Schizosaccharomyces pombe: one gene and its partners. The protein of the gene in region 2 interacts with the protein of the main gene of each other region in a pairwise test. Each region holds a gene or a part of one and is shown on either strand. Other genes may lie near its edges.

Region 1 (7,513 bases), 3.5 Mb from region 2:
ATGTAATTGTTGCTATGTAAACACAGTTGTAATTATAGATTTTTAATTGTTGCTGCTTTTGTACATTAGCAAAAAAAAATACAAGCAAGTTATGATGAAGAAGTCTGGTTATGCTATTTTTCTAAGAAGCTGGGATAAATTCATATTTTGTTCCTCTTTTTTTTTTTTTTTAAATATGTTTATGTCAGATTGGCAGATTTACCATATAAACACATAATGGCAAATTATGGCAAACTTTGCAAATGAACATGTATTTATCGAATTTCCTTGTTATCTTTTTTTATTGCTAGCAACACATGAAGACATCAGTCCCCTCTCGGCAATACATATTATCGATTGACACTACTGTATGCTGAGACTGAACAACAGAGTTCTCACTTGGACTTTTTGCTTGCTCCTCAAAGACTTTTAAAAAATTAAATAATAACTATTATATTTCTAACTGTTTTTAATCTAATTATTAGTCACAAGTTGCGCTTTTGTTATATATATGACTTCTATTCAAATTGTGTATACCTCTTTGAACTGCAACGTACTGTGGCTAATTATAATAATATTTAATGCTAAATGTTTTTAACGATGTTGATTGATAAAAAACCGCGTAATCATCAGAAAAGGAAGGATGCTTTTCTTTGCTATTCAAAACAAAGGGACGTAATTGTGCACTGTAACATTGCAATACGGTAGATTGTTCATTGACCCAAAATCACTAGACTTAACCAGTTTTATAATTTGCCTAGTAATCCTTGAAGTGTAATGATAAATTCAAAAAGCAAAAAGAAGGAATCAAATGCCCTCGTTTTAAAGTCGCTTTTGCGGGAACCTTACAACAAAGTTTGCGCGGATTGTAAGCGCAATGAACAACCACGATGGGCAAGTTGGAACTTGGGTGTTTTCATTTGTATCAGGTAAGTAATAGCTGCTTAAAATTGAAATCATTAACACTTGTTAGATGCTCAGGAGTGCATCGAAGTCTTGGAGTTCATGTTAGTCGTGGTATGATTACCTAGGATACAAAATTTAATGTTAAAAAACTCAGAATCAGAAATTAACAGACAAAACTAGTAAAATCTGTTGATTTGGATTCATGGACAGATGAACAAACTGAAAATATGACAAGATGGGGAAATGAACGTGCTAATTTGTAAGTTTGTCTACTTTTCAAAAAAACTTTGCGCTCACGTCCTAAAATATAAAAACTAACAACTTTAATAGGTATTGGGAAGCCAAACTTGCGGGTGGTCACGTTCCCTCTGATAGGTAGGTTTTTATTGATAATCCTTAGCATAGCTGGCATTGAATGTTATCTTTCTAGGCTACATACCCTTTACACGTTGCTAGCAAATTGGAAGCTTCTTTTTTGTTTTTTTTACTGCATATTTTCTGACCTAGATTTAGTAAAATTGCGACTTTTATAAAGACGAAATACGAATTTAAAAAATGGGTACTCTACCCTGAAATTCCTTCTCCGGAAACGCTAAAACCGGAACAGAATACCAGACCTGTTTCAGAAGTCAACGCCTCTTTAGATCTTAATACTGCTTCTCGATCTTCCAGTGCTCACTCAGTTAAAAGCACTTCTTCTGCTACAGTTACCAACGTTACTTCCAAGAAAGAAGCTATATCAGCTACCACTTCTTTAGCCCAGTCGTCTCCTAATTTAGCTTCTTTATCCAAGCAACCTTCTACTGTGCATGCTCCTTCGACTAGACAACGAGATTTAAAGTCTTCAATTCTCTCCTTATATGCATCTCCACGACCACAAGTAAGTTCTTCAAGCATAACCACCAATGCAACATACCAAAATCTACCGTCCCCAGTTTCAACTAGTACTACGTCTAGCCAACCTTATGGTGCTTTTCATCAACCGGCTACGACAGGATCCTCCTTTGTGGCAGATAAGTGGAAGATGCCTATGTTCACTTCTAATGTGACCAGTGCACAACCATCTGCTAGAGCATCACCCGTTCAATCCAATTCTTCTCGGCCGCGATCTTCTTTAGACAGTAAGATTATTAATTCTCATGATGTTTGGAAATAGCCTTTAGTGACGCTTATACAAATTAACAGAGGTTTTTACTACTTATTTTGAAATATTTCATTAATTTAGCTATTTAAGTTCATCAATCGATGTCGGCATTTATGGATTCCTATATTCAACCTTCATTATAATACATTTTCTACTTTTCAGTAAATATAAATGACATAAATGTATTTATTAGGTCTATTATCGCTGAAAGTTTATTAAGTATTAAAAGCTAGCACACATTGTATGTATTCCGTAAAAAGATGCCTACGATATTTGGGAAAATTGCCTTGATCAATTTCAACTTTCCCAGAAATTTGAAAGATTTGATTTACATGAAACAAACCAGTGGAATAAAGAATGTCCCTCAATCTATTAATGTTAGTTGTACAACAAATGTTAGATTTGCTATACGCCCGTAAAGAAGTTAACACTGAAAGGAGCGGAGTAGCGAATTTTGAGACATGGAAATAATATGGACGAATGTAGAAAAGAAAAAAGAAAAAAGAAAAAACAAGAAAAAAAACAGGATCAACTATATTAACCCTTGACCTCCTGAGGTTTTAAGCAAACAAGTTTACATATGCTTGTTGTTCATTCAACATAATAAAAGAAGGTAAAAACTAAATTTCTTCTTTCACGTTACAATTCCAACCATTGTTTTGCTCTGACAACATAGACAAACTAGCTCCCAAACACCATCCAAGTTCCTTGTTGTCAATTTTCTTAGCAGTATGGAGCTGTCGGTTATTGGGGATTTCATACCCAACCGAAAGTAAAGAAATCATATAATTCAAATCTAAACACCACTCTGGCTCTTCTTTCAACTCTTTAAGGGCGTCAGTTAAAGAAAAGGCGTCCTGCCAGTATGTTGGTCCACTACAAACACTATTTGCCAAATATTTCATATCTTCAATGGTAAAAGTGCTTGGCATGCCTAAACTGATCATACGATCGTAAAAATAACTGATTAAATAAATGGGAGAATCAGTAAACGTCTCAGTGAACTTGGGTTGATGAACACCATTGAAAGAACAAGGACGGACTGGGCAATTTTTGTCTTTATACAAGGCTTTTTCTGCTATACCACGACACTGAAGAGAAAGATGGGCTAACGAAGGGCCAACGAACACGACCTCAGAAGCTTCGCTTTTTGAATCCGGGTGCGTTAGACTAGCGTTGAGATGCAAACATGGATGGATGATGCTAGTGGAATCACCGAGCAACTCCAATGACTCCTTTAGGGCCTCTGCATTATTCAGCACAAATTTATGAATCAGCTTTCGAGCTTCCTTCAAACCATAACCTAAGTGAGAATGTTGATAAAGTTCATATTGCTCACCATTGTAGTCTAAAACATACTTATGGTCACCATCAACAAGCGATTCGCCATCAGAAGCGAAACGTGGTTCAAAAACAAGCTGTGTAGAAGCACCACCGAGGTCCATTACAGCGACAGTAGAGTGCGTGGCTTTACCACCCAAAGTTCCTAGAAGGTAATTAATGGTAATCCACGCATATATACCTTCCATGGAACCTTCAAGGATAGAAACACCGTCTTTTACAATAGGAAAAGGGTAATCGTTTTCCAAATGTTGTCGCACTGATTTCAAAATAGCTTTAGCCTCACTTTCCCCAGTCAATCGTAAACCAGCGGTTGCTTTTACAGCAATAGGGGAACAACGACGATATTCCTCAGGCACGTTTTCCATGGCATAGTCAAGTAGTGGGTCTAAGGATGCCGCTGCTCCTTCAGGATCACCGGCAAAAGAAGATAAGCCAGGCTCTATCATTTTAAAAAACTCTTCTTCTAATTTGGGAGAAGGATTGCAGTTGTTAAATTGGTAAACATGAACACGAGACCCAGTGGAACCAGCATCGATCATCAAAACATATTGACGAACAGGCTTGCTGTTATCATAAGCCACAGAACAATCATCTGAGTCAATAGAAGAAGAAAATGTTACATCCTTTGCCGCACTGGTTGGAGCTATTTTAGGTTTAGAAACAGCAGTCTTAGTAGGGATAGAGGTAGTAACAGGAAATAAAGGTTCTTCGGAAAAAAGAGGTTCCTCTAACTCATCCTTGGGATTCAAAAGATCGACTACCTCTCCTTCACTTCTGTAGCCTGAAGGAAGCTCGATGTCCTCATAATGGAATTCGTCGTTTGAAGATGGTAAAGGTCGGTTTGATGAGCCTGGGAATCCATTCCATAAAATGAACGTAACAGCAAATATAGATAGTGCAATTAACAAAGCCTTCCTACGGGCTATTGATTTCATAGTTGGAGTCATGAAATGAGTGAGTAATCCTAAGAGATATTTGGTGAATTCAAATAAATTGGTGAAGAAGTCAATTAAATAAGAAAGAGTGAATAAATGAACGCGATTTTATGATAATTATATTAATTAGTAGGCACCAAAACACCTATCAACACTTACTACTTGGTTGATGGCAAGTTAAATAAACATTAAAAACTGGCTTAGCATATATTCAGAGTTGTAAATGCTATTGTGTGGATACCTCTCTAATCGCGTTAAATCATTTACGGTAAAAGTGCGACTGTATAGGCCACCCAAAATTATATGTAAATACAATAACTTAATCGAAGTTAAGATAATCAATCTCTTTATTGCTTACATGTAAAGAAACGAAAACATTTATTTGAATAAAATAAACTCAGGATGCAATTTACTCTGACACCGCTAAACAGCCTTCAATTCGTATATGTGATCCAATTGAAAAATAGATCAACTATATTCTTGCTCTAGCTCCTAGTAGAATCAAGCAAAGCAACCGAGCTTACCAAGGCATACATAAAACATCATCAGATAAATTCAAAGTCGGTCTAAGCAGCGTTTTTCATGTCACGCAATTTCTTCATAACAGTGATTGGATCACTACTGCCCACTGCTTTTTGTACCGATTCTAACCCAAGGCACATGAATGGATTGAACTTCTTTTCGTCACCGATGGTAAAGTGACCAGTAGTAGATTCATGATTCTTGCAAAAATCCACCAATTTTGTAAGCTCAGGAGTAGAGAAGATCGTGGAACTAAACTTGGCATTTGATTTGGTGTATTCATGACCAGGGTAAGTTACGGTATCATCGGGTAAAGCAGCAAGGACGTGATTCAAAGCGTAGTCCATTTGTTTGGCATCTCCTTCAAAAAAGCGACCACAGCCTGATGTAAAAAGAGTATCTCCAGTAAACACGGCTCTTTTTGAAGGAGAGGAAACGTAATAACAAATACTGTCTTGGGTATGGCATGGCGTATGAAGAGCCTCAACTTGAACTTCTCCAACCTTGAAAATCTCCTTATCTTTGGGAGTGTATGTGACACCAGATGCATTTTTTCCGCCATAGACCTTTAAAGAAGGAAAGTAGCTCAAAATGTCTTCGTTGCCGCCTGCATGATCATAGTGATGATGAGTGGTCAGAATGTACTGCAAATCAATTTCTTTCTTCGCCGTTTTCTCTTTTATGACAGGAATAACACTAGAGTTTGTCAATGTTAGTTTGGTTAATTAAATGTTACGGAGCGCACAAACAAAACAATTCGGAAAACAGGAGGAGAAAATCATGTTTCCGAAATCACAGATAACAGTATTTAAGTCGTTATTTCATTCTCTTCACTTACCTCTCAGGCTCAGCAGGGTCGACGATGGCAGTGATTTTGGTTTTATCACAAGTCAGCAAATAGGCATAGTTGTTGCCCGTTCCTTTCCACATCCATATGGGCGTAATATGAAAAGACATCGCGTTTCTTATTATCTTATGCACTTTAAAAAAAAATGAATATACTAAACTTCCTACTCTACTAAGAAACAAAATCTTAGAGAACGTATTTGTTTAAGTCAAAAAAAATTTGACAGTACGCACTTATATACGGTAACGTCAGAGTGATATGTAAAGGCAGCTTCTGTGTTAATAATCATTGTTAGAAGCGAAATTTCGATGTTTATTAATCAATTCATTTTTTTTAATTATGATTATGAAATAAATTTTTAAATAAACATACTTCATATAAACTGTTACTGAAGTAGGTTTTAACAATGTCATTCAAAGCGCAAAAGTCAAAAACTAAAATCATTTCAAAGAGTATACATTTTGTAAGGAATGATATTGTTTACGACTAAGGAAATCAAATGCTCGAATTCTTCTTTTAACTTATCCTTGTTGTGAATTGATACTCGGAATGCATGGAAAAGAACCTGACAATTTTCCATTGAAAACGTTTTGGAAAGTAAGTGTCCGGAAACATATGAGAGACTCAAATTTAATCTAAAAAAGAGTTAAACTATTAACACTCGGTACAACCATCAAAAAGGAGACAAAATCATTGACGCTCGAAATCAAATTACTAAATAGCTCCAGCGTAGAGAAAGAAAAAAAAATACAATTTCGGGGTTTCCTTCGCATTTTCCGAAAAAGGATTGATATAAGAGTACGAAAAGAATCGAAGGCGATGTACTATACGGAGCAAACACACATCTTTAGAAGCAAAAAATAAAATAAATTGACAAAAGGTGTCTGCAACTGAATAGTAAAAGTTTTTTGGAAAAGCAAACAATAATTCACACAATGATTAGTTCTATTAAGGGCATCATAGCTTTCAGCTAAATTTTAGCAAGAAAACATTAGTTCTCCAGCAGATACAGCACATAATAATATTAACAACGATGCAGACCATTATTCATCACTTTTAAGCTTTCGGTATGGAGCTGTATTCAAGCCATTTCACCGCTTCAAGAACACTAGGCATTGATCGCTGCTTAGAAACAGGGAGTGCCCATGAACTAAATTTTCGGATTGATCGATCTGCATCCAAAAGTGACTTGGCCTCGTTTACCTTGCTGGCTACATAAGGGCTACCACCCCGATCTGGATGATTTGCAAGCATCAACCTTCTGTGAGCCTCTTTTATTTTTTGTCGAGTTAAAGTACGGTTGTTCAATGACAGAATTTGAATGGCTTCTGCCCTAGACATTTTTGACTCAAAACCACCCTTGAGAAAGGCCTTTACTCCGCCATTCAAATTCCGGTATTTTCTGAATGCGTCAACACCAATTTTCCCCTAAAGTCATTAGCATTTCAAATGTCAAGCTTTTATTTTCTGTTTTCACATACTGCCGCAGCCGTTGCAGCGATACCGACTCCAAGGAGAATAGCAGACGACTAATCAAAAATAAGTTAGTTAGTGAGGCAAAAAAAAAATCTCATACCATTTGTTATATCTCAAAACTTATTTAATGTGAAAGAAGTAACCAAAAATATATATATTCTCCTCAATTCCCAATACCTTGAGGATAGTGGAGGAAGAAAGCTGGTTCTCCTTGTATATGCTTAAGTTGCCAATAAATAACAACTTTTAATCCTACTAATAAAAATCTGCATTACATAAAATTCAGGGTTTTATATTTCTTGTAAAATAATTTGTTAAAATTAATATAAACTAGCTCACAAAAAAAACTAACTATTTTAC
Region 2 (9,241 bases):
TGAAATTTAAGGGAGAGAAAGCAGGCGTGGCTCTGTACATATGATTGATCTTGTTGGAGCTTTTCTGCTACCAATATTTTGATTATTGTTTACAAATTTGTTGTCATCTTTAACAAATCCAATTAACACTTGTGTCAGGTGTTGTTCTTGGTTTGAATTTAATACAAGCTATAGCACTTCTTGTGACTGATTTAATGGATGACAGTAGACATGTTGCATGCAACTACAGTTTTCAATAGCTTTAGCTAAGATGAAGTAATACCCTGGCTAAAAACGTTCAACCAAACTCAATGTTAATTTATTCATCTACTAACGATTATGTTATTATAGCTAACAGTTGTGTCATATTAATGAAACATAAATTTGACAAAAAAATTTGGGAAATACGATAATTCAAGCAAAGATATATTAAATTAAATTAAAATTTTATAAAAAAGCAATGTTATAGAACATCCAAAAAATCAGATCGAATGAGAAAAGATTTATCCAGAGTTTGGTAAAATTACTTGAAAACGTCAAATTCTCTTTCCAGGCTAATTAAGTTAAAACATTTTATGCCGCAAAAATTCCGCATTTATTTACACTAAAATCACATAATATAGCTGCTTTTTGTTCAAATATAATTATGATTTCATGAAATTAATTCAACATAACATTACTCGTTAAATAATTTTTATTCAATATTGGTCGACCTAAGGACAGTATAAATTTCCAAATAGCACAAGAGAGAGTGTAAATATATTTTAAAAAAATTCATTTAATTATTATCAACTTTAACGGCTCATAGATTATAAAATCAGGTCAATCTGCATTAATTCAAAAATATTTAACGAGGTATAACGGTTTTATGCGTACCACTTTAATGAACTGTAAAGATTCACGAATGTGTGATAGTATAATATTAACAACGGATACAGGTCAGTACCCGTAAAACATTCCTGTCTTCAACATTGTACCACCAATTTTACTCATAATACAGAACTCATTAAAAGAAGCTTTGATCTACTTCTGCAAAAATTTGGATTGTCAAATCTTCTCCTGTTAGCATAAATTCTTCTCTAGCTATAATTAGAAATCATTTGATAAGTTTGCATCCATTTTCTTTATTATAGATTGCAACTGGTTTATTTTATTGTAATCTCGTTTTTACTCACAAACTATTAAAAATTATCTATCATCATGTCTATGCCCATTGTTCGTGAAGTTAATAGTGATGGTTCCATGTTGCAGCCCTTTAGCAATCCCTTGTGGGTGCCTACTCCAGTTGGTAGATCGGGTAGAAAGCATAGAACGCTTAAGATGTGTATTGTATTACCAGACACTGGGTACGATGTTACTCAGGTTTGCGATCCTTGGCAATTTTTTGTAAAGGAGGGATTCATGGTTAATTTTGCTACTTTGACTGGTATTGTTGCTCAAGCCGATCAGCGCCTTTTAAGTGGAGTGAAATCTTGGTTCATCGGTGCCACATACAAGACTAAGGATATTTATGAAAGAATGTCAACTACCAAAGAATTTTTAAGTCCTTCAAATATGTCTGATATGAGCTTTACCTTTGAAAACTTTGACTTGGTTTATGTGCCAGGAGGGCAGGATCCCGCTGTTTTAGAACTTGTAGAGTCTCCTCGTCTCAGTTCATTGTTAGCTGACTATATACCTTTATGTGCCCGTGTTAGTGGCACCCGCGTTTTAGCAACAATGGCTCAAGGAGCAATCGCTGTTCAGCGGGCTGCTCCCAATCTTGAGATTAAATCGACTACGACTCCACTTTATATGGAAAGAGCGTCTTATTTATTTGGCGCATCTAATCCTCCGGCTTATACTTATACTTATATTCCTGAATCGAAATACGTACCAGGGCCCAAAACTGCTCACTGGGTTTATTCGGACGAAAAGTTTTTCTATGCTTCCGGTCGTTACTCTGGCGATGTTGAACTACTTTGTAAAGCTTTACGAAATCTCGTAGCAAGTGCATTGCATTAATCTTTCTTATTTGTCTTTACTATTTTATCTTATACTAAACGTGTTAATTATTTCTTTGTTGAGTTTCCCAGATTCTATTTTAATTTCATATTCTATAAATTTCATATTTCTGCGTATTTAGAGTTATATTGCAATAAAGATAATTCAATTTGCGAGTTTGGCTTTTGTTTGATTTGGAGCATTTTATGGCCCTTGTTTATCGTTCATTTTTAGTCCTAGAACTCTAAAAGTGTATTAGACCTGTTTTAGACTGTACCGTTCAATACCGTCGAGGCATTGAATTTTTACAAACATGCCAGAACCCTTCAAAATAAGAACTGTCACATGGAACTCTTTATTTTCATTGAGGCCGGATGCCAAATGCTAATTTGAAATGCTCTTTTAGACAGCTAATGCAAACGGTTCGGGTCTAAATTTGATATTCTTTTTTTAATTAGAAAAACCAATGTTAAATTAATGAAATTTTCGAATCTGTTGATTAAATTTTTCGATAGTGTTTCAATCTATAAGCTCCTGTGCTTAACAAAGTGCAATAACTAAAAAATAATTATATTAACGTGAGGAAAATAATGTTGACATAATAGTACCTACTGATGCTGCACTCGTATCTAGATTCATAAATCATCATGCCAAACGACATTCATAAAGTTTGACCTTAAGGTCATTTTTTATATATCTAACCGTATTTTATAAGGCAATGTCATCTGAAAAAACCCCGATCCATTCCCAAGCACGATTTTTTGCCAAGCGCTCACTGTCCCATACCTTTACGCTTACCATTCCTTCAAGGACTGAAACCACCTTTTCCCATATTTCTAATTGAATTGACAAAGGGAGATGTACAAGTTCAAAAAGGCCCTTGTCATCTGCGACTCCAGATACAAAACAGTCAGAACGTAGCTGCACGACTTCTACACGAGGATTGACAGAAAAATCTGTCAAGGACTTTAGCTTGGTTTTTTGTAGCTTAGCAATACAATGTGAAACGCATACGGAGACTCCATGCTTTACTACATGCTTCTTGGCATAGACTCTTATTCGCCATACAACGGTACCGGTAATAGCTGCCAATATACCAATCAACAAGTAAATTCGCCAACAGGATATAACTGCTGAAGTCAAATACTTCATTAAGGAAACTGTATGAGAGTAGACAGATCGCAAACAATTAGTCGGAAATTTACTCAATGCCCCACGTACTCGGAGCTTCCATAGCTCAAGAGTAAATAGTGGAGAAAATAAGTAATATAGTACTTTTCTTGTCAGCTTTGAATTATATAGACGGTTTAAAGTAGTCTTCAGATATACTTTAAAATCTTTAAGTCCGACTACATTATCGATGTCCTGCTTATACATGTAATATCGATCCTTAAAATTGTCAACAAATGATTTTCCGTTTAAATTCTTTGCACTTTCAAAAGTGGCAAATTCTTTAGGGGCTTTATAGTACCACTTTCCGATAATAGACATAAATGCCTGCACCATCTCTTCAACCTTATTAACCTTCACGGTATTCGGAATACATCGTGGGTATGGTTTTAAGCCGAAATCTGCAAGTAAAGGAAACGAAGCCTTTAATCCTTCTTTGCAAAATAACTGACGATTGAAACCACATTCAGCGTTCTCAGGACAAGGTTGACAAGAGGCTTCAATTCCTAAAGAGTGAGCAAATGAATATGCAGACTCAATAGAGGAACGTAAAACTCCTGGTTGGAGATAATATAGACTAGAAGGATAAGGTTCGGCAGGAACTCCACAGAAGCCAACGCGCTGTACTTCTTGATGCCAAAAGCCTACAAATCCCAAGAGAGGTACGACAAGCAATACAAGCCATAAGGAATTTACCACTTTGGTAAAAGAGAAAATTAAAGAAATGAATGAACCAAGACTAAAGTATGGCCTTTTAGGTTGCCTATCCTTAGTCAAGGAAATATTTTCCTCCACGCGATCAATACCCGTAGTACTAAGACCGAGATCAGAAGAAATCTCATTAACCGAATCATCGTCGGGTTTTTGGGAATCAAATTTTTTCTTCTCTGGCGTCGATGTATTAGATGCTTCTAACCCAAAATTTGTAGAAAACGCAGGGTTGACAGGACGATGAATTGATGCATTTGCTTCGTACAGCTGATTTAGGTGTTCTACAAAAATTGAGGAAGATTGAGATTGAGGAAGGGGTGATGATGAATTCTTTTTGGGATGAGTCCATGAAAAACTGTTATTTTCTGGAGTGAAGTTCTCCGAATTACCAGTAGACAAGCCAACCAAATTGTTGAGTTGGTCAAATGACTTGTTTGATTTGAGATAAGAGTCGGAACTTTGTTGAAAATTTTTTCTGACTGAAAGAAGGTTACTTGGATTACATTCAAGCGAATTCAACGACGACTTGATAGGAGAAGCGTAAACGCTTGACGAACGGGAGGTAAACTTAGGCTTTAGGTTTTCGCCTAAGAAACTGAGAAAAGAACTTTGGTTCAATGGATTTTCGCTTTTTGGAGACGTCGTGTTCAATACCTTTACTGGCGTTGGATCACCCGACACGGAGGCATTAACAAGATAGCTTTGATCATAGTCTAAAAACTTTGAAGCAGGTGTTACGATATTACCAACTTCTGCAGAAAAATCGTAAGTAGCGGTGTCTACAGAAGAATCCTTGTTTGTTAAATTCTGGACAATTGAAAAAGACGATTCCATTGAGTTGTCGAGGTTTACAACTGCCGCATTAAGCTCAGTTTGCGTCTCAAATGGTATATGTGTTATTTCTTCGTTTCGCGAATCTATTTTGGCAATCTTTGAGGCATGAAATTCAGATTCTTCTGAAATGGTTATCGTGTTAGTATTCAAAACTTGAACGTTCTCGTCCTGTAACATCCCCATCACATTATCTTCAAATTGTGAAGTTTTAGAAATTTCTGTATCATTAGCCTCGTCAACCATATTTATTTTTCTCTTAGAGCTAATTCGAGCAGTAACATTATTCGTAACCCCTGCCACCCTTCTACGAGGACTACGAGAAGACGGAGGAACGTTCTTTTGCTGCAATTCTGTCATAGAGATCAAGCCATTTTTTGCCCTTCGTAGTTTACTGAAAAGCGTGATTAACTGCGCTTTCTTCGCCGTTGACGGATAGTATATTTGATATTCAGTTAATATATTACGCAAATCTACTACTCGAAGAGACGAAGGATCATAATCGGGGTCAAAATAAGAAGGGACCTCCATTCAATTAAAAAAAACCTTTTAACTAAAGGGTATGTGTATAGACGTAAAACTGGCGAATGTAAATACCAAGTGATTGTTGTCAACAACATGGTGTAAGCCAAGTAACCAACAAGTAACATAAGATGTATTTAGTAATGAATGTCAACAAACGTGGGTATTTGAATATGTATAATATTAACTTAACCGAAGAAGTAAATAAATCATTATTTGCATAATTCACATCAAAATAAAATTTTCATTCACTAAAAAGACATCAATATAACGAAAACAAATTTTTTAAATCAATTTAGCGACTTGATAATTGCCGATTGCAGCAAACGTAGCGACAAATAAAACTTTATCGTTTTAGCAATCTATACAATAAAATAAATATCAAGTTTGCAAACTCTAGAAGGTATGTTCTTAAACGAAGTATCCTGGCTTGACTATCAAAAGTAGATATGTGCCAATTATACGAACACGAAATAGTATCATAATTCTCTAAATTTACACAGAAGGAACATGAAGTTGTTCTTCTGACTCGTTAACAGCAAACGAACGTTCACTCAGGGACGTCTCTTCTGTTTTAGAGGGTGGCCGCCATGTCATATTTCTGCTTTTCGTCGGGTGGATAAAACGACAAGCTGGATTCAAACACGGTTTATATTTACAAGGAATTGGAATGGTTGACATGGACATGAAAGGTGGTAATGTAGTAACCGTAGCTGGAGATGGATGTCCCTTGACACACTGTATACGTTAGTAATAGTTAGATTTAAATTATTATGGTACTTACATCAGCAGCTTTGCATTCTTTACCAGAAGCACACATTTCACTGCTCAGGACCATACCTTCTCCTGGGGCTGCGGCTGGTGTCGGATGAGCAAATATACACTAAAGAGTTAGTTTTAACAAATTATCTGATATTAATACATACGTTAGCACGGGAGCACTTATCGGCATATTTGCACAAAGGGACCTCTTGGGTTTGAGTGAGAGCACGCTTGGCAGCAGGCATAACGGATTTCGAGTAGTTAAACGAAGCTGCCATGGGATTGAATCGCTGTTTCTGAGATGTAAGTTTGAGCTTTTGTCCGACACGCCCAGTAGGTAGCTCCTTCTCTTCACGTAACGAAGTTATATTAGGAGTTTGAGAAGATTGAGGTTGTATGCTAGTTTCCGGCACAGAGAAAGATTGCTGCGACTTGTCAGTTGACTCCTTCTCGATAAAATCGATTTCGTCGATCTTGCTGACTGACTCAACTGAAGCATTTTTTGATTTTTCAAGCTCTTCAATTTGATTAAATAACCAAAGTGAGAAGCTAGTATCAAAATCGGACCCTATTAAATCAACTAGTTCTTCATTAATTTCAGTTTGTGTTTTTCCATTGCTAAGCATCACAAGAACAAAATCGGCCAGAGAAGCAGCCTCTTCTCCCCACCCATATTCAGAAAGTTTTTTTTCAATCGAATCATGAAGTTTTTCACTATATCCAGGTGTTTCCAGTAATGTAGTCATGTTGTTGGTTTACAGTCAATAATTAACTAAAATAAGCCAAAATAATAGAGATGCTCAAATTTACAATAAATGTACTCCGAGAATTAGTAAATCAATTCCACTCCTGTTATGGAATCAGAATTTAATAAGTTATGTACCGGTATATGCTCTAAAATGAAATCAAATAGCTCAACTTAGCATGAAATAAAGGAATTGAGAAGAAAGAATACAATCACAAAAATATGTTCACAGACAAGAAGTTGGCAAATTTGCCGTTCCAAAAGAAATAAACTTCCTATAGATGATGCGTTCGGAGAGCTTCAATGGAATACGTAGACTAAAGGTAATTTCTAGTAGCAATAGTTATATTGATACTGCAAGCCGTAAGTTAAAATACAGCAAGAGCCTCAGTTCAAACGTAAGTGGAATATAAGAAATATCTTTCACAGTAAGAACAGAAAGAATTAATAAATAGCATAAAATAGCGAGTTTGCTAATTTTTTTTCGAATATTATACCCAATTTCACTATAAGAACTATTCAACGACTAACGATGACACTATAACGCCACAACGTAACAGCATTAATTAAACTAGTCCAGAATCTAAGCGTCTAATATATATACATCTAAAGGCTTAGCCAACTACAAAGCAATTACATTGCATTGTCATTTTGGAATATAGTTATTTCTTCATAGTAACTAGTAGTTCAAAATTACTTTCTCGAGCAAATATTTTCCTTCGGTTCTCAACCTTCTTAGTAGCACCAACTACCTAAAGTCTTCTAATTATCTCGAAATCGAAAACGTTGTGAAACGTATATATTGCATATAGAAAAATTTTTAGGATATAGGTGCAAGGAATTTTACAATTGATGCTGCAGTTTGAGGGCAACGAGTTAATTGATTATTGCGAACATTTCGAGTAGAAGAGTATTTGGGTTATAATTTACATTCTATTTTATCAGCGTACCCACCATTTTGAGAAGGAGCTACAAATGTCTTCACACGATGATGATCATACTCCATTACTAATTTCCGATCCGTCAGTGAACAAGCCCTTTCGATCCAGAACTCCTTCACCAGAAAGAGAATACTGTTCTGATTGTCCTTTGCAAGCTAAAGGTTCTGCATGCAACGGTAATTCTCATTCATTAAAGCATGAAACCAATGGTGCCAGTTCAAGCAATAATAACGTTGCAAAGTCAAGCTCGCATGACTCATTTAAGGCGAAGCCTAAAAATTACGACTCTACCTCCAATTCTAATGAACCCATCTCTTTCAATGAACCAGATTCATCTAATTCTCATCATAATAATGAATCTATATGTAACAATGATAACTGTTGTCGTGAAATCGCCAGAAGACGTTCTTTATCTCCACTTTTGATTCTTCCATTAAACTTTATTAATGCCTTTTCTTGGGGCATGATTGAAATACCTCTGCTCTTTTTACTTCGACAGGAACTATGTGCCATTCATTATAACCTTGATCCTACACAGTTGTCCCCAGATGACCCAATATGCCGACTAGCGGAAATTACTACTGGTGTTTCAAAAGTCCGTGCCGCTTTTGGCTCTTTAGCCGCCTTTTTAGGTCTTTTTTCCACCGCTTATTATGGAACAATGGGGGATATTTATGGTCGCCGCCTTGTACTTTTCATTACCGTCTCATTTTTGCTGCTTGGTGATTTATGGCTTTTATATCAGTCCTATGCCCCCAAGCATCCATATTTTGTTCTTTTTGCTGCTGCCTTGAAAGGCTTAGGCGGTTATATTTCTACCGTTGTAGCCAGCCAAAATTCCTTTGTTGCAGATTGTTCTAAGACCGAGTTTCGTGCATGGTATTTAGGATTAAATTTTGCTGCTTACCATCTAGGAACCGCTTTGGGACCTAGTTTAAGCGGATTCATTGTGCAATACACTCCTCATATGTATTATGTATTTTATATTACTTCAACTTTTTGGATTATTTATTTACTTTACGTTTGGTTGATACTTCCAGAAAGCCTAGATGTTTCGGAAAGTAAAGAGCAGCAGAATAAAATATCTGGATTTTCCTCGATATGGAGATCATGCCTTGAGCCACTTATAATTCTTTGGCCTCGAAGTTTATGTACAGAGGAATCATGCGAATTCCATCAGTACGATATTAATGCTGATACCCATGCAGGAAGAAGACACTGGGACGTGTTACTTGCAGCAATATTGATATCTTTAACTTTACTCGGCGCTGGTTCAATGGGCTTATTGCCGCTTTATACGGACTATAAATTTGGCTGGGGTCCAATGAAGGCTAGCTTAATATTATCCACCGACTCTTTTGCTAGTTCAATCACATTAGTTGCGCTATTCCCTTTACTTTCTAAAGTTATCGAAAAAATAATCGAAAAGCTTTATTCTTCTGAAGGATTATTTGAAGATCCAAGTCGTGCAGACAATACCTCTTCCCTACAAGGGATTCGAAATGTTTTCTCTTATTTAGTTCGTCCTGGTTATTCACGTTCTAGTATATTGCGTGGTAGAACGGCTGACGAGAAATACACTATAGTTAAACGAGAC
Region 3 (7,829 bases), on a different chromosome or scaffold from region 2:
GCGAAAAAGGAAAACAGTATAATAATAATAATGAATTATAAGCGGCCATTATCCGAAATGAAATATGAAAATGCAACAAAATAACAGAAAAAAAGAGATGATGAATATAAATACAAAATCGTAAGAGAAGAAAACAGAAGTATGCAAAAATGAGAAATTTAAAGTTGTCGTAAGTAATGGAAAACAGAAAAACAAAAGAAACAAAAAAGCACAGTAACAAAATATTTTAAATTGCCTCGTGCATGACTTAATCTCATCATTTTCATTAATAAAAAGGAAATTCGTGTTAAGACTGCACTAATCTTTTAATTTTTAATTTTTTTTCAATAAACCGAATTTCTTAAGAGAATGCACTTGTGAATATGTAGTATGTATTAAATCCTCATGGGGTATGGGGTAAGATCTGCCTGGAATCCAGCAATGTTATGCCGTAAGTAAAACATTTCTTTTGTTTCCAAGCTATCGAAGCAACCTAGAGGCATGGTAAGATCAAAAAGAGGCTGCATATAACCACTCTTTTTAACATTTTTGAATTCCAATTCTTCGCACACATTAAGGTCCTTTTTGAATTCTTGACGCCATTTTTCCATTACTCGACGCTTGGTGTTCTTTTGAAAAATTTCACAGTCAACCGATCTAGAAAGGAAAGGGCATCTCAGTTCAACAGGCAATACTGTTTCCATCACAGTATTGGCTAGATAATTTTGAATGGGAAACGCACGTGCGTGATTACCTATAGAGAGCATAAACAACAACCATCCAACTTCTTCTTGACTTATCGTTTTGCTTTGGAAAATTGGTTCATTGCTATATTTTGGTAAAGAACTTTTAACACTAACTTCAGGACTCTGCTCCAACTGGATATTGCACATGTAACTTTTGTTGCAAATGGCGGCCCAACTAGTTTGTCCTTGGAATGAATAAACGTCTCCCGGTCGTACCAAGTACATTCTAATATTGCCAATCCGCTTTTGTACGCACCAAAGATGAAATTTCGTGTACTTATTGGAAGTGACCTGCCGGGACACGTAGATGATCATTGCTCTCCATAGGGAGTCCTTCATGTCGTCAGTGTAATAATCGTATAGTAAAACATGTCGAATTAATACTGGCAAGCTATAGTTGCCGGTAGAAAAATGCATCGAAAGGCTTAATCCATCTACTCGATTCTTCTTTAAAAAAGCCCCTAATCGTTTCTGCACCAAAGGCATATCTACTTTGAACTCGTACACCTGTTCCTGCATCGGTGAATATTCAGAAGACACTTGCTCAACACTTTTGAGATATAGTTTATCCTGTCGACGCATAACAATATCCACTAACCCCCCTAAAAACGGATTCTTTATGAGACCTTTATTTCTCCCAGACACTACTACGATACCCAAGCTTTTACCTGTTAAATTCTCGATGGATAGATTACGATCCAACTTGGATAACCAATCCTGACTCGTAACATTAATATTCACATCGCCCGTAGCCTTAGCAGGACTGTTGTACTCGGCTTTGCGAGATTGATAGCCCGGATCCGATTTAAAAAACTGCTGGATTTTCCTTGTAGTCTTTCTCAAGAAAGAGTTTTCCTGACCTTCATCATCAACTTCTCTCAAAATATCCAAACCCGATTGATTAGATATCGACATATTGTCGAATGTCGGTAAAATACTTTGAAACTTTTAAAACTTCGAGAATCGTAGAAAAGAAGAAAAAGGATACCAATATCCAGAATCTCAAAACCACAGTGCGTCCAACTTAAAAATAAAAGGTAATGAAATGAAGTAAAAAAAAAAAATTATTAAAATTTGGTTCTTTCCAAAGGGCTTTGTTTCCTGTTAAATACTAAATATGAAATCGTTTATCTTAGCTTAGCCATTTTGCCATCTTCATCATGCTTTTCCTAACAACGCTCCCCAAGCCACGTAAAACATCAACTTTCGCAACTCGTCCTATTTCAAGTTTACGAAGACATCCAATTTCCTAATCGTCTCTACCCTATAATATTTTGTATAATCATGGTCTAAGCCATTTCATCGTAGCGATGAGCCTCTCGTAAGTTAATTAATGGCGCAGCATATCAATTTTAATCAACTTGTAATAGAATAGAGATGATCATGCTGTCTATTGCTTATAGTTACAAGACTAGATTTCCTTTCTCAACATGCAATAAGGATTGAAAAGTAAAAATGAACTACTTGTATGAAATTTTCGTTTTCGTGCTTAATTCATGATTATGACCTTTTGGAGTCAGTGACATACACCGTTTCCATTGACAGACATTATTGAATTTTTTTTTTACAATGGGGCAACAGTCAATGTTGGCGCAAGCTTAAGATGCAAATGCAATCTTTCATTTAAAAGCGGCTTGTTTCATCAATACATTTGACATTTAACGATGGCTTGTAGGCATTGTTGTAGACATCCACTCAGCCTACATTTTGTCAATACTTTTCTACACAACTTCTCAAACTCGTTCCTTTGTAGCTTAAAAATTAAGCGAACTTAAAAACTATTAAACTTTTTGTTAAACGAATTATTTGCATAAAATACCAAAAAGATTTTTTGTTGACTTTCACCTAACAAATTAAGAGCGGTTGGTTTTATTAAAAAGAAAATTTATTAAGATATTTCTCATTGCATTCCACTTCAATGCGTCGTAGAGCATATCATAAGTAAGGCTCTAAAAATAAGCCACAAACACTGATCGTTCTTCTGGTACAATGGTTCAAATTTTTTTTTTCTAGGAAGCTCGAAAAAGAAAATACAAACAAAAAAAAATTAAACAGCTCATTTCTTCAAAAACTCCTTTTATCCTCAATTTGTTTGAACTTTGTTCTGACAACCCGCTACGAATTGGCTTGGGACCCTGCTGACGGTCGGCCTTTTCCCTATTCTCACCACGAGCACCGTGGGGAAACTGTATAGTCGAAATCTTCGAGTTTTCTTGCTCAACATTTCAAGAAAACTTTTATACTATTCAAGTGTATCTAATTGTTACTTCACTCGTTATTTAGTACTTCTCTTTTACTTTGTCAAGCAGCACAAGTGTTTGATAAAGGTCATTCTGTATAAGGGGTCCTCTGTACCATTACACCTTGTACCTTGATATAAAAGATATTTACATGCATTTTATTTCCGTTAACTCACAGAATATCAGTTGTTTGGTTTTCTTCTTACGTGTGCTGGTTTGACTTGTTGTTTCCCTTTTTTTTTTTAAATTTGCACACACAGGATTCTATGAGAACTTTGCATTAAATGGTATAATGGGAAATGGAATCTAGCCGATTGTTTACACTTGGATTGGGAAATTCCGATGATGGATTGAAATCCACTTTTGGTGATAAAACAGTAACTTGTTTTTATTGCAACAAGAAGAAGGAAAAAATTAGAGACGGAACGTCTACTTGGACTTGCTCAATTTGTGAAGCCACCAACCATATTGATGAGAAAGGTGATATCCTGGATTATCGACCTCCAACCCCAACTCAAGACAAGGGTGTTGGTCCTTTTTACGCGATACGGGATTTCCCAAGCAGTTCTTCCTTTCAGAGCCCCTTTTGTGAAAAATGTCAAATGAACCAACTGATTGTGAATCGGATGCTTGCTGATTATCTGCCAGACTCATCACATCCAGATTATCAGGCTTATGAGAAGGCATTACCAGAGTATAAAAAATCTATAGAAGAGAAATTTCCCATTGTTTGCTCTGAATGCTATGACTCCGTTCAAGACCAACTTGATGCCAATGATTATGAAGCCAAAAATCAGGTTTTAGGATATTGGCTGCAAAAGTCAAAGGAACAGCTAAACGCAAAAGTCCCCCATCACTATCCAAAAGCTTCTTTTGTTCTTTGGTTACTTCGTGGATTTGGTTTTTCGTTTTTCTATTTGCAATCGATTGTGTGGCATTTGTATCATTCTATGATAATAAGCTTATTACCAGATGGTATTCGTAATTTATTTCTAAAAGCAATCTCTTACTTCCTATTAGATGGATCCTCTAGCAAAATTTTTTACTTTAATTGGCTTGGTTTTTTCGTTGTCTTTTGGAACCCGTATTGGTACAAAATGATGGACAATCCATCTTGGGAGCTTTTTGGGCGGGATCAGTATATCCAATGTCAGGCACTTTATCTTATTATCCGTTTAACTTGCTTGTATCTCCTTTCATGTTATGAGTCGGAAATTTTGAACTTAAGCTCGGATACCAATCTTGAAAGTGATTTTTTACTCCGTCAAATACATGCAGCCTTTTTCTTTGTTACCATTTGTTTTACATGGATTAGCATCTCATGTTTAAAGCCAAGTCCTCCTCCAGAAGTTCATTTGACTGGCGAAATTTTGAAACCACGCAAGAAGCGTCAGGAAAGTACATCTTCTGTGCATCGGATAGGAAAGGAATCGAGTGACAGAAAAGATGGAATTAGTGGGCAGAATAAATTGCAGCAATTTGCGACAATTTCAATTCTGAATAATACCAACGCAACGTCTCATTTGGGAAATCAGTCTGTTCGTGAGAGAGCTCCGGAGGAATCCCCTATGACTTTTCTTCAAAAAAAAATGGCCGCCCTTCCAACATCTAGTCCTGTTCGACCGATGCTTAAACCTACTCTTCAGCTTCAAAATTCTCCTTTATCGAAACTGGTTCCTCAAGAAGTGGGCAACAAAGTAAACGATTCTATTCATACGACGTCTAATCAGCCAAGTAAATTTTCCCTGAACCCTTCCATATCTCTAAAAGGTGATAACGTGATAGAGAAGAATTTACCTTTTTCCGTGTCTACTTTAAAGTCCACTGCAAAGAAAGATACTGGTAAAGCAGGGGATGGTCAAAATCGCGAAATTCAAAATGAGCCAGTGAGCCTTGAAAGTCATTTTAGTAAGTCTTTAGCCCTTCAGAACGATCCAACAGAAGTTATTCAGGTGAAAAACGTTCTTCACCGGAATCGTCGAAATGCAAAGCTTCTCATTGCTTTCACAATTTTGTTCCTCGTTGGGTTAATTTGCGGATGGCGTTTGAATCGTTTTACTATGTTCATTTACTATTTATGCATATTGGTGTTAGCCACATATTATGTTATGAAACACAACTTTTATCCTTTAAGAAAGGTGGCTTGATCTGGTTACTATTTAAAGAAGTGGATGCAAAGTAATATGGAATATATTCTTTTGCAAACCAATCATTCATTAATTTATCCAATTTTGGAATAAATTTCGTTACTAATATTGCCAGAGGCGGTTATGTCGCTATCATTTGTTTAAAGTTTTTCAGCTCCTTTCTGGCAACTCGACATATTCGAGCTAGCGCATTCGCACAAATGGGATCCAATATAAATTTACTTTTTTTTTCCTATTAAAGCTATATAATTAAGTATTTTTCATACTAACGAGTTTTATTTGATAAATTTCATTCGTTTCAATAGGTTAGTACTGAAAGAGAACATGTAACCTGAGCAAACTTCTGGTTCATACGAATACTAGCAATGGTGCATTCCCGAATATATGTTAGACACGTCGTTAAATTAGTTTAGGTTATAAAATCGTTAGAGTTAAACAATAACTTAAGAGAAATGAGCCGAGAATACTAGGATATTCAGATTTTCATTACTTTCTAATTCCGCTCAGGATTCTATGTGCAGGTAACATCAGGTGACCGAAGGATTCATTGGCATACTATAGGGCCATGAGATCTTACCTTCTTCCAATATTCAAAACTAAGAGTTTTATTGATTTCAGTGCAAATTTTGTAGTGACGAAATTTTTTTTTGCTGAAGTGATTGTTTAAGTATGAAACCTGTGTCTCTTGCCAAGTATATTCAAAAATCACCATTTTTGACGAAATTGCTTTTACCCATCTCCAATGCCTATGTGCATTTGTCAGGATACCGTAAATATGGTCTTCGATACGACGATTTGATGTTGGAGGAGAATGACGATACTCAAAAGGCGTTATCTCGTTTGCCTAAGATGGAATCCTACGATCGAGTCTATCGTATTCGCCGTGCCATGCAACTTAGCATTGAGAATAAAATTTTGCCAAAATCTGAATGGACAAAGCCTGAGGAGGATTACCATTACCTCAGACCTGTTTTAGCTGAGGTTATCGCGGAGAGGAAAGAGCGTGAGGCCTTCGACGCTCTCATTGTTAAGAAACCCGAGACTCAAGCCCATGCAACATCTTCTCCTGCTCATGCTCATTAAAAGTTTGCATGTCCTCCTTTAATCCACTTATTCCTCTCATGAAAACCGACAAGAAAATTAAAAGAGTAGTAAACGGATGTGAGAATTTTATTTTCTAAGTAACCCCCAACTCCAATTTCTAAAAAGGAAGACAATTTATGCACGTATCTTATTTCATCGGTTATATCAGTCGACAAAGTACGTGGAAACGAAAGTTTTTATATTGCTGTTTATCTGTACTTTGACTTTACTATGTGTGCGATTAATTTTCTACGCCGCTCTGTTTTTGCTTTGCTCTATTTTAACTACTGGTATATCTCCCATCTCTTTGACCTCTCCTCTCTATGCTTTCAGTTTTCATATTTTAATTGAACAACGATTTTTTCTTATTTTTTATTTTTTGTAGCTGCTTTTTCCTTGACTGTTATCTTTGAAAGAGAAACAATTTTTTTGTTTCTTAGTTTCGCTTTCTGAAGATGATTTTGCAATTATTCTCTCGCTGAATCAATTATAGCTAATGGTTGGTATAACATAAGTTAGTGAACAAAACATTGTAAGGCAAACCAACTAATGTAGTATTTTTTTTAAATCGTGATATCAAATTTTAAACTTGTTAAACAGACAAACTTATTTTGAGAAATTTTATGACAGTTTGGCATTGTATTTATTGATTTAATTAAGCTTACTCCTATTTGACTTTAGGCATACTCTTCCTTGTACGACTTCAAGCTCATGAGCTTTTCACTATCTGAAATGTTGTACCCAGAGTCATAATATATGAACCTCCGATCGACGTAAAGTATTATTGAATTTAATTTTATTTATTTCCGCGTTTGTTTAACTTGTTTGAGGAACTTGAAAAATTACAAGAAAATCATGTACAATTTTGTTCGAAATATTTATTGAATATGCAGGGGAAAATCAATTATAAAGACATTACTCAGAAAGAAATGTTCAATGAAATATTTAAAGAATATGTTAAGGAAGAGAAGCAGATCGATTTGGGTACTTGTGATCAAGATTCTGTACACGACCTCTGGCGACGCTTTGTAAAAAGATGGAATGATGGAAAAATGAAAAGTAAATGGTATTCGTTGGGAAAGAGAATATCTCAACCCTCTTATGCTCGTCTTGTAGGTCCAAGTCGACCAACTTTGGAAAATTTACAAGATCGACGAGAATTGCAGGAGCAATTAAACGAGTTGAGAAAGCTATCCCGAAAATCAGCTTTTAAATCGCAAGCTAAAAGGGAGACAGAATTGTTGGATGAAATTCTTCCAAAAGAACCAGCAGGAAGCAAAGAAGCTATGCAACAGAAAAAGAAGGAAAAACGAGCTGCTTTGAAGCATTATCGCGAAGCATCTGACAATGAAGAAGACTTGAAAGAAACCGACTTATACGGAGACCGGGACTCATTTCAGTCCCGATTGAAGCAAAAAAAACAACGGTCAGAATTCAGGGCTTCAAAACGAGAAATGGAAAGACTTGAGCGCGACCAAGAGCTTCGAAATAAAATTGAGGAAAGAAATAAAAAAGAGTTAGAAACAATTGAAAAGCTACGAGAGTTAGCCAAGGCTAGGTTGCAAGGTTTTTCTAGTTGATCATTTTAGCAATTACGCCGACATTTATAAAACCAAAGAAGTGTGCAACTATTC

The links.
Region 1: the proteins of man1 (region 2) and gda1 interact in a two-hybrid assay, tested with the Schizosaccharomyces pombe proteins (2 studies listed by BioGRID).
Region 3: the proteins of man1 (region 2) and ima1 interact in a two-hybrid assay, tested with the Schizosaccharomyces pombe proteins (2 studies listed by BioGRID).

What each region holds. Positions count from the first base shown.
Region 1 is NC_003424.3:1,694,845-1,702,357, reverse strand, and holds gda1 (Golgi nucleoside-diphosphatase Gda1), read right to left. Parts: upstream 4,488-7,513; 5' UTR 4,321-4,487; coding exon 2,650-4,320; 3' UTR 2,196-2,649; downstream 1-2,195. Other genes in the region: SPOM_SPAC824.09C (GTPase-activating protein), read left to right, coding at 757-908, 953-996, 1,066-1,144, 1,216-1,260, 1,399-2,041; hydroxyacylglutathione hydrolase Glo2, read right to left, coding at 4,875-5,526, 5,669-5,787; TIM23 translocase complex subunit Tim14, read right to left, coding at 6,734-7,105, 7,159-7,206, 7,254-7,256. UniProt on the Schizosaccharomyces pombe protein: After transfer of sugars to endogenous macromolecular acceptors, the enzyme converts nucleoside diphosphates to nucleoside monophosphates which in turn exit the Golgi lumen in a coupled antiporter reaction, allowing entry of additional nucleotide sugar from the cytosol.
Region 2 is NC_003424.3:5,233,114-5,242,354, forward strand, and holds man1 (LEM domain-containing protein Man1), read right to left. Parts: upstream 5,266-9,241; 5' UTR 5,206-5,265; coding exon 2,671-5,205; 3' UTR 2,043-2,670; downstream 1-2,042. Other genes in the region: SPOM_SPAC14C4.04 (uncharacterized protein), read left to right, coding at 1,180-1,983; poly(A)-binding protein Nab2, read right to left, coding at 5,692-5,934, 5,981-6,079, 6,123-6,704; SPOM_SPAC14C4.07 (transporter), read left to right, coding at 7,679-9,241. UniProt on the Schizosaccharomyces pombe protein: Required for correct meiotic chromosome segregation.
Region 3 is NC_003421.2:1,885,908-1,893,736, reverse strand, and holds ima1 (inner nuclear membrane protein Ima1), read left to right. Parts: upstream 1-2,872; 5' UTR 2,873-3,264; coding exon 3,265-5,112; 3' UTR 5,113-5,634; downstream 5,635-7,829. Other genes in the region: SPOM_SPCC737.04 (uncharacterized protein), read right to left, coding at 375-1,640; qcr7 (ubiquinol-cytochrome-c reductase complex subunit 6), read left to right, coding at 5,782-6,195; SPOM_SPCC297.06C (uncharacterized protein), read left to right, coding at 7,083-7,775. UniProt on the Schizosaccharomyces pombe protein: Inner nuclear membrane protein that specifically binds to heterochromatic regions and promotes the tethering of centromeric DNA to the SUN-KASH complex.